2 linked regions of the Ovis aries genome follow. The protein of the gene in region 1 interacts with the protein of each later gene in a biochemical or structural test. Links are inferred from orthologs where the notes say so. Each region holds a gene or a part of one and is shown on either strand. Other genes may lie near its edges.

What was found.
Region 2: of the proteins of PSRC1 (region 1) and ASB7, one has a biochemical effect on the other in vitro, tested with the Homo sapiens proteins (2 studies listed by BioGRID, with this or other methods). The link is inferred for Ovis aries from reciprocal best matches to the Homo sapiens genes PSRC1 and ASB7.

The regions. Positions count from the first base shown.
Region 1 is NC_056054.1:86,558,957-86,563,437, forward strand, and holds the start of PSRC1 (proline/serine-rich coiled-coil protein 1), read right to left. Parts: upstream 2,966-4,481; 5' UTR 2,766-2,965; coding exon 2,378-2,765; exon of another isoform or gene 2,297-2,377; intron 1,991-2,296; coding exon 1,933-1,990; intron 1,857-1,932; coding exon of another isoform or gene 1,799-1,856; intron 1,372-1,798; coding exon 930-1,371; intron 589-929; coding exon 474-588; intron 377-473; coding exon 128-376; intron 1-127. UniProt on the Homo sapiens protein: Required for normal progression through mitosis. Required for normal congress of chromosomes at the metaphase plate, and for normal rate of chromosomal segregation during anaphase. Plays a role in the regulation of mitotic spindle dynamics.
Region 2 is NC_056071.1:5,429,067-5,433,319, forward strand, and holds the start of ASB7 (ankyrin repeat and SOCS box protein 7), read right to left. Parts: upstream 3,070-4,253; 5' UTR 2,666-3,069; intron 2,513-2,665; 5' UTR 2,421-2,512; intron 1-2,420. Other genes in the region: LINS1 (protein Lines homolog 1), read left to right, coding at 3,419-3,578. UniProt on the Homo sapiens protein: Probable substrate-recognition component of a SCF-like ECS (Elongin-Cullin-SOCS-box protein) E3 ubiquitin-protein ligase complex which mediates the ubiquitination and subsequent proteasomal degradation of target proteins.

The sequences.
Region 1 (4,481 bases):
CCCACCTCCAGACATAGCTATAATGAGGGTGGAAGAGTCGCTGTCACCAACTGGGAGAGTGCGTGCATGCTGGGCAAGGGCAAATATTATTCGTCCTGATTTCTTATTCTTGTCTGTTCTTCCTTACCTCTGTGCCCTGCTGCACTTGGTCTTGGAAGTCCTTTCCGAGCTGACAGGGAATCTGAAGGAGGGGCGCCTTTGCTGGATGGGACACTCCGGCTGGCGAGTGGCATCCTGTTGCCAGGCCTGGGAACGGCCGAGGGAACAGGCAGTCGACTGGAAGGTTTAGCAGCTGCTCCCTGGGGCCGAGACAGGCGCTGAGAGTTGCCGGCAGGAGGCTGTGGGGCCAAGACTGGTGTGACGGGGGTAGGTGGACCTGGTGAGAGGGGTGGAGGAATTTCAGGGTTTGCACCACATCCTTCCCACTCCCTACACCCCACCCACCCACAGCTTCACTGCCCAGGTCTTCTCACTTGCTGTCGCTCTCCCACTGGGCCCGGCTTTTGCCCGGACCGGAGGAGTTGATCGGGCAAGAGGGGAAGATGCTGGGCTTTTGGAGGCAGGGAACAGATTGCACGTGGGCGACTCCTGAAACACACAGAGGGAGAAAAAGGACTAAAGTGGAAAAAGAATCTGTTCTGCTGGCTGACTCAGGGACAGAGGTGGAGAGTTTTGTAGATCCCAGGAAGAAGGGCAGAAGTTAGCTGCCAACAACAGCAGCGTCACCACCAACGCCATTTATTGAGAGCTTATTACAGAGCTTATACACAGATGCTGTGGTACGTGCCTTGCTTATGGCACCTTGTTTAATTCCAACAATTCTACAAGGTAGAATTTGACTATCTCCATCTTACCAACAAGGAAAATGCCTGTACTGGGTCATGCACAGTGTCGGAGGCACACATCTAAGCCAAGCCCTCTCAACTCACCCTCTTCACGCTGGAGGGCTTCTTTCCAGATGTTGCTCGAAGAGCCCTGACGGACCCCTTCCTATCGCTGCTCCGGAGTCGGGGTGTCAGGCTGCTTGGAGAGGGGGTGCTCCGAGCCAAAGAGCTCACGGTGGGCAGCAGGTCTCGGACAGGACTGTCCTTGAGCACAAAGGTCTCCCGCCGAGGGCTGGGCTTCACCCTTCGAGGCCCTGAGCTCTCGCCTGTGTTCTCCCGCTCCTGCAGGGCACACTGCTCCAGCTGAGCTGCCAGCCGGTTGGCTTCATGGAGGATTTCTTCCAGCTTCTCTGGACTGAGGGGGCCTAAGCTGAGCCTCAGACCCGGGGGGGTGGGGGCCACTGCATTTGGGTCACTTCGATGGGAGAGGCCTCGTCGGAGGGGTTTCTCCGGAGTCACCAACACTGCTACATCTTCTTCCTCTCGACTGAGACAGAAAACAAAGCAGGCATCACGCCCACAGGAGAAGACTGCAAGGGGGACTGGGCAAAACCCCCACAGCAGAGCCAAGAACACAAATGCAAACCCTGAAGCCCATACTGGCCGTGAGATCTAAGTGATGAAACATCTGGTTCTACGAGGCCTTCTATGCTTACTGACATTGGAAATTATGCCGGGGTGAAGATGCCACAAATCCACTTACCTTCTTCTTAACACCCTGAAATCTCATTCCAGCTTATTACTCGCCCCATCCCCAGCAGTGACACAGGGCCCTAGTCACCCAGCCACCCAGAAGCCCCAGTGCACCCAACCTTGCTAAATTACCAATCCAGACCTGAGGCCAATAATTCAGCAGTAAGGGGTTAGAAACAATCATTGTGAGAAAAAAGTAAACAGGATAAAGAGTCTACTACCTGTCTGATGGTGACAGCCCCCCAAAGTCCAAGGTCTCATCCGCTATAAACTTTACGTCTGTAGGGGAGGAAAGAAGGAATGCCAGCTTTGGGTCCCCAACATGGTCCCATTCTTCCCTCCAGCGTTTCCTTACCTTCTTCTAAATCTTCCATGTTCCAGACAGCAGGAAAGAGTCAGCTTAGACACCTGAGCTGGAGAGAAAACACCTTTCCTCACGTCTCCATCCTGCTCAAGGCCTCCCAGCTAGACTCCGGGTGCAAGCCAAGGGTTGGGAATAATCGTGAAGGTAAAGCAAGCGTCCCCGCAGTAGGACTTGCCCCTGTAAACTTCCTCTGCTACCACTCGGGCATGTACGGGCAGAATGTCCCGCACTCCCATCTCCCTCCACACACTGGCCCCCGCCCCTCTGCGACCCAACCTCCTCTCGCTGGAGCGGTCTCTGCGCCCCATCTTCCTCCCCGCCACCATCCTCCGGGTTCTTCTTCTCCCCAAGCCACCTTTCTACTCCCCGCAGCACCGCATCCACACCACTTCTACAGGCCACCGTCAGTTTTCAGTTTCCGAGCCGCCTCACCTACCGTGGAAGGTGCTTTCCTTCCACAACCTAGTCCCGGGAATCAGCTCCGAGGGGGCGGGGCTCCTTTCGAATCTCTCTGGTCCCACCCACTCCCCCCACACGCGCTCAATGATTGGTGGAGGCCAGCATCCCCACGCCCTCCTGAGGCGGGGCGGCGGAGGGGCAGTCGGCCGGAAGTCTGCAGGTGGGGCAGAGAGGAAAGCCGTTCTGTGAAAGACTCCATCCGGAGGGCCAAGGCGGGGAGGCCGCGAGCGCGCGCTCGTGCCCGGGAAATTTTGCTTGGATTCCCTCCAGCAGTCTGGACCTCGCGGCGGCGCGCGAGGGAACTGTCCTATGAGCGAGGGCCTCGTTCCCTGCCGCACTCTCTTCTCCGCCCCCTCCTTCTCCATCGGCTCAGAGCTGAGCTTTTAAGCAGTGAAATTAATGCTCTGCTTGGGGAAATTCGTTTTCTTAGGCTCAGTCCTTTCGGAAGCGCCGTGTGAGCCGATCCCTCAGTTAACATTTTTCCAAATTTACGGAAGCAACTAAACATTTATATTTTAAGTATATTGAGGTTCTCTAAGAATTGCATCTCCACGGGCTTTTTGGGCAAAAACATTCGGATCCTGAGCCATTCACGGTGTGAAGAAAACAATGAGCTTTTCAGACAGGCAGATTTGGGTTCAGATTCGACCGTGGCTCCCCTGTTAATAAGAATATTGAGTACATTTGACCTCTCTGAGCTTATATTTGACATCTCGCTTATCTAAGAGGATTGTGATCGTCACAGTACATGGTTGCTGCTGCTGCTGGGGCTAAGTCGCTTCAGTCGTGTCCGACTCTGTGCGACCCCACAGACAGCAGCCCATCAGGGTCCCCCGTCCCTGGGATTCTCCAGGCAAGAACACTGGAGTAGTTTGCCATTTCCTTCTCCAGTGCAAGAAAGGAACAGTGAAAGTGAAGGCGCTTTCAGTACATGGTTGCTGCTGCTGCCAAGTCACTTCAGTCGTGTCCTACTCTGTGCGACCCCATAGACGGCAGCCCACTGGGCTCCCCCGTCCCTGGAATTCTCCAGGCAAGAACACTGAAGTGGGTTGCCATTTCCTTCTCCAATGCATGAAAGTGAAAAGTGAAAGTGAAGTCGCTCAGTCGTGTCCAACTCTTAGTGACCCCATGGACTGCAGCCTACCAGGCTCCTCTGTCCGTGGGATTTGCCAGGCAAGAGTACTGGAGTGGGCTGCCATTGCAAGAATAATTATGAATATCGAGTTTTATACCGTGTGCCTTAAGCGCTTTTGAGGGTAATATTTGTAACTGGCTTCCTCTAAATTAAAAGCTGTGTTGTAAAAAGTTTAAGCCTACTTGTTAGGGATTTTCTTTGTTGCTTCCAAGGGTTGCCTGTGAATAGACTGGGCCATCCGTTAATAGAGCTTCTCAGAAATATTTAAAAATTTTGAAATTAAAAGTCCCCAAAAGATGGTTAAAGAGTTCTCCCATTAACAAAGAGCCTGAATGTCCAGTCTCCAGAGTTTATGACCACTATTTTGGCTACTTTTTGTTTACTTCTCAGAGTTTAGCTGTAAAGTTGAGGTGGTGAGGTTTGCAAGAGTGAGATGTTATTGTAATAAATGCCACAGGAAGGAAGGAGCCTTGGAGTTTAGTAGTGTGATAAAGGGAAAGGATGGGGAGACCCAGAACTTGCAAGTTTATGTGAGAAAGAGCTGAGACAAGAGGACTGCCTCTTTTGCCTTGGGTTCCTGGTGAAGGTGGAAATTTAGTTGCTTGCAGGGTTCAGACTCTTTGGAGGTAAGAAAACCAAAGCCAGTAGCTTCCTTCTCTCTAGGCAGGTTGTGGCAAAGTGGAGATCAGAGGGAAAGAAGCTGTTAATTAACTGCCTTTCTTCTTCCCCTAGGAGCAGCCTGAGTAAGGAAATTCTTCACCCATCTTCAGGTAAGTGAAGGAAGCAGTTTTAGAAAGTTGGGAGTTAATTCCTCCTAAGGAAACTCATCTCCAATTTTCTATCACCAAATTATGATTTTGAAAGCTGTTGTAGAGAAATAAGCAATGGATCTACTTTCTTTTCCATCAGAATGACAACGAAAGCAGAAAATGTAGATTCCAGGCAC
Region 2 (4,253 bases), on another chromosome or scaffold:
TTAGATATGCTTACAGAAATGACCTGATTTTACAGACTTTTTAGGAATCATATGTACTTCTGTGTTATCAAAGTTAAATGTGACCAAAATAAAGCGGTATTTTATGTGTCATAATATAATTGTGAATGGCATCACTTTAGGTATGAAGACAGTAAGTACTGGCCACAGCATACTCAAAATGCATCACTTCAATTAAAAATCAGTGATTCTCCCTATGGGCTCATATATCTTACTTGGTTACCAAGAAAGCTGGGTGTTTTGTTTTTTTTTCTTTTCAAAACCATGTGACTGACAATAGAATTAACACAAAGTTAACTACCAGACTGAAGAATATAAATCAGCCAACAGGCTTTTTTGGTAATACAGTATTCGCATTAAATGTTTGGCATAATCTAGACCAAATACTCTCAATCATGCTAATGTTAGGAACAGATGTTGACAATTTATATATACTCCATAATCTTAGAAAAACCACTAAAAGCTGAGAGGATCAATGAATTAGTTAAGAAATTAGAATGAACAGAGAGGAAAGTAGTGTTCTCTCTTTACCTTACATACTTGACTCAGCACAGGTGATAAAACCCCTCAGAAATGAAAACATGCTAGAGTTCAATCTAAAGCAGAAAAATATTTAACTGAGAAGGCCTGAATAGAAAATATACATAATTTATCTTTACCTTAAAAACATGCTTTAAATATTCTAGCAATTTTTTAAAAGGTGTAAAGTAATCATTAGGCATATCTCCGGTGATTCACATATTTAAATAATGAAAATTGCCTTCTACCTAGCTTTTACTGAAATGCAGTGAACCCTACATGTACAGAGGGAGCTTCCCAGGTTCCCAGTTGGTGAAGAATCTGCTTGCCAATACAGGACACACAAGAGATGTGGGCTCGATCCCTGGGTGGGGAAGATCCCCTCGAGGAGGAAGTGGCAATCCACTCCAGTATTCTTGCTTGGAAAATTTCATGGACAGAGGAGCCTGGTGGGCTGCAGTCAATCAGGTCGCAATGAGCCGGACATGGCTGACCATATATGCACTCTACGTGTACATATAAAAGGTGCCCTAAATGTTCACTGTGGAATAGTCATTAGTCAGTACTGATTTTAAGTCCCATTCAGTAGCATACATTCTCATTTTGGTATCCAGTTCCAGGTCTCAAGAATACGCAAACCCTCAAAGCCCTTTAAAAGTACTGCACCTTGACAATTAGAAAAATCAGGTAGGAGATTCATTTCTTTATCCGGAAGGCAGAAAGTCCAGAGGAAGAGACCAAGTCAAAGATTTCCTAACAACTTTTGCTATTTTAAGCACTTCTTTCCATGTAAAATTCCCTAAAAAATCTGCGATATTAAAATAACTCTGAGATTAACAAGCGACTTTATACTCCTGTTATTGGATGTCAGAGAAGTTATTCACTTGGCTTATTTCTGAATTAACTCTTACATGATTTCCCTGTTCATATCCCCTCTGTAGGACTTACATGAATGTCCTAAACTTACCTTTAGTGCATTTTCAAAGGCGGCAACAAAATACAGATGCTTAAATTTCCATCTAACAAATTCTCTATAAGGGTTTCAAAATGAGAAATCTTATGAAAAGTGCCAAAATAAAACCCGACATTCTAAACACACCAAAACATTCTTTTGCTTTTAAATTCCTGAGAGTCAAATGATTGATAAGATATTGCATAAAGTTTTGTAAGTACTAGAAAATCTGAAATATACCAAATATGATTTATCTTTTTATAAGAGTTTCATAGCCCTTACAACATCTGTCACACAGAAACACACAAAAGCCCAAAGAGTTAATTATACATAAGTGCTTCAGGAGAGTATTGCTTTCATATCATCCACATTATTAAGGTACACAGATTCACTTTTTGCTATAGGAAAAAACATCACGTTATTTTCTGAAACTCACAAATTCGAAGCTATTACTGAAACCTTCCTTCACGAACTCTTGTGAGGTAACTCAAAAGATATTCTGATGGAGGTAGACGAATGATAGCAAAGAAGAGGGGAAAACAGAAAATTGTGGTTTAATTAAAAAGCAGAGTCATCCAGAATTAACAAGCAATTAATAAGGAATTGGGGAATTCCTATGAGAATAAGAGGGGCTGGGGGAGCTACAAAAAGGTCTCAAAGTCTCTGAGGAGGGTAAATGGTGGAGCGTACCAAAAGATAAATGCAACACATGGAAACACTGTTCAGAGGGAAAGGCGGAAAACAAGGTCCTGGGAAAGAGAAGTTATTAAAATGTTAAAGACTGGGGCACGGGCGGCGTTTTTGTTTTTGCTGTAAAGCTAGAAGCCAGGAAAGGGATGCATTGCCAGGTAACTATTCAGAAAAGAAAGCACCGATTAATGAGGTAGGGGCCAGGAATAAACAATGGGGGAGGGGAGGGCTGGCTCTTTACCTTGACGGTGGAAGCTGGTCAGAGCTCTGCGGCTGCTCAGGCGGGTGGGCAGACCCTCTCCTGCCGTCGCTCGCCCCCCAGCCAGCTCACACCTGGAAATCAGAGACCCGTGAGCGGGGCAGAGCCCCGGGGCCCCGTCCTCCCCGGCCCCGGGGCAGAGAGCGGGGCGGGCCAGCAGGAAGCGGCAGGCTTCCCCTCCGTCCCGGGCCGGCCCTTTCCCCTCAGCGGGGGTAACCGACTTTTACCTGTCTCCTCAGCTGCTGCCTCCCTTCCTTCTTCCAGCCGCCTCCACACTCACCAACTTCTCCATTGAGGAAACAGCCCGGGCAGGGCCGGACCCGGCTGTCCCTGCTCCTCCGCGGCGCCTCCCGGCCCCAGCCTGCCAGCATCCAGATGGCCCGGCCGGGCGGAGGCGGCGGCGGTGGCCGCCGGGCGGCCTGGGGCAGGGGTGCAGGGAGGAAGTCCCGGCGCGGGCGGGGGGCAGCCCCGGTCCGAGCGCTCGGGGCAGCAGGCTGCCGCGCTCCTGGCTGGGAGCGCCCGGCCACTGAGGGGCCCAGAAGGGCTCGGGGCGGCGACGGCCCAGCTCTCACGGAACCCGGAGTGCCGGCCGCCGGGGCGCCAGGCAGGGGGCTTTCGGGATGCACTTTGCACCGGGCCACCCCCGCCCCCTCCCTCCAGCACTTTGGGGTCACTGGGATGGGACCTAGCCCTCAGCAGCCAATCAGCGGCCACACTGGAGCCGGAGCCCGGAGCCGTAAACCAGGTCTGAGGTGGGTGGGGGGGGGGGGGGTGGGGGCGACTTGGTTGGTTGGTTGCTTCCTTCTCTCCTCCTTACCCCAGCGGCCCCCACCCCTTGCCTGCCGTAAAGCGGCCTGCGTATTCGCGACAGTTAGAGGAGGCGTGCCGAGCGAGGCTAGGAGTCGCTTCTGATTGGCCACATTCACTCCCCCACCTCCACCTCGCGGCACCCGACGCTCCGCCCCTGGCGGAGGGACTCCATGCGGTTGCTAAGAAACACTATATACCGAACAGGACCTCTGCGCATGCGGGAGAAGGCAGCGCCTTGTACTTTCTGTGAACTACGGTGGCCCGGAAGGGGCTGGCGCTTGCTCGAACGGCAATGCGGAGGCGGCGTGGCTTGGGGCGGATCTCCAGCAGGTAACTGGAAGAGGTCGCTACGCTCGGCGACGGGAGAAGCGGCTGTGTGGCCGTTGAGAGGCTGTTTTCGGGGCTTAGGACTGAGCAGGTGTCAGTCCCCAGGAAGCGAGGGGAGGCTCTCCTCGTCCCGCCGCCCTCGGTGCTTTTCGGACGCGAGCGCCGGCTCCTAGGCTGCGCTCCAGGGCCTGAGGTGCCGTTAGCTCCCGGCTGGGCACGCCTCGCCTCACGCGGAAGAGGACGCTGTGGCTTGGCGGTGACGCTTCCAGGGCTTTCCTGCGAGGACAGCGGCCCTTGAGAATTCCTGCGAATGAAAGGGAAAAGAGTGGAAAATGTAGGAGATGGCCGTGTTTATTAAGTGCGTTTTTTCACTTACCAGGTATTTACCCTAAACTAGTCAGTGTCCTAGCCGTCAGGGAGACAACAGCGATCAAGATATATGTAATCCTTTGCCCTCGTGGAGCTTTCGCTTTAGCAAAGAGACTGACAGATAGGAAATTATTTACCAGATAGGGATGGGGTCGAGCTTGGCTTGGACGTGATGGCTCTTTGTGCTAGGAAGGGTCTCTGAAGAAGTGATATTTGACTCGCCATCTGAGTGAGGAAGACTCAGCCATGCCAAGATCTGGGGCGGGGGGAGCGAATTTTGCAGGCAGAGACATCAAAGTCCAAAGTCTC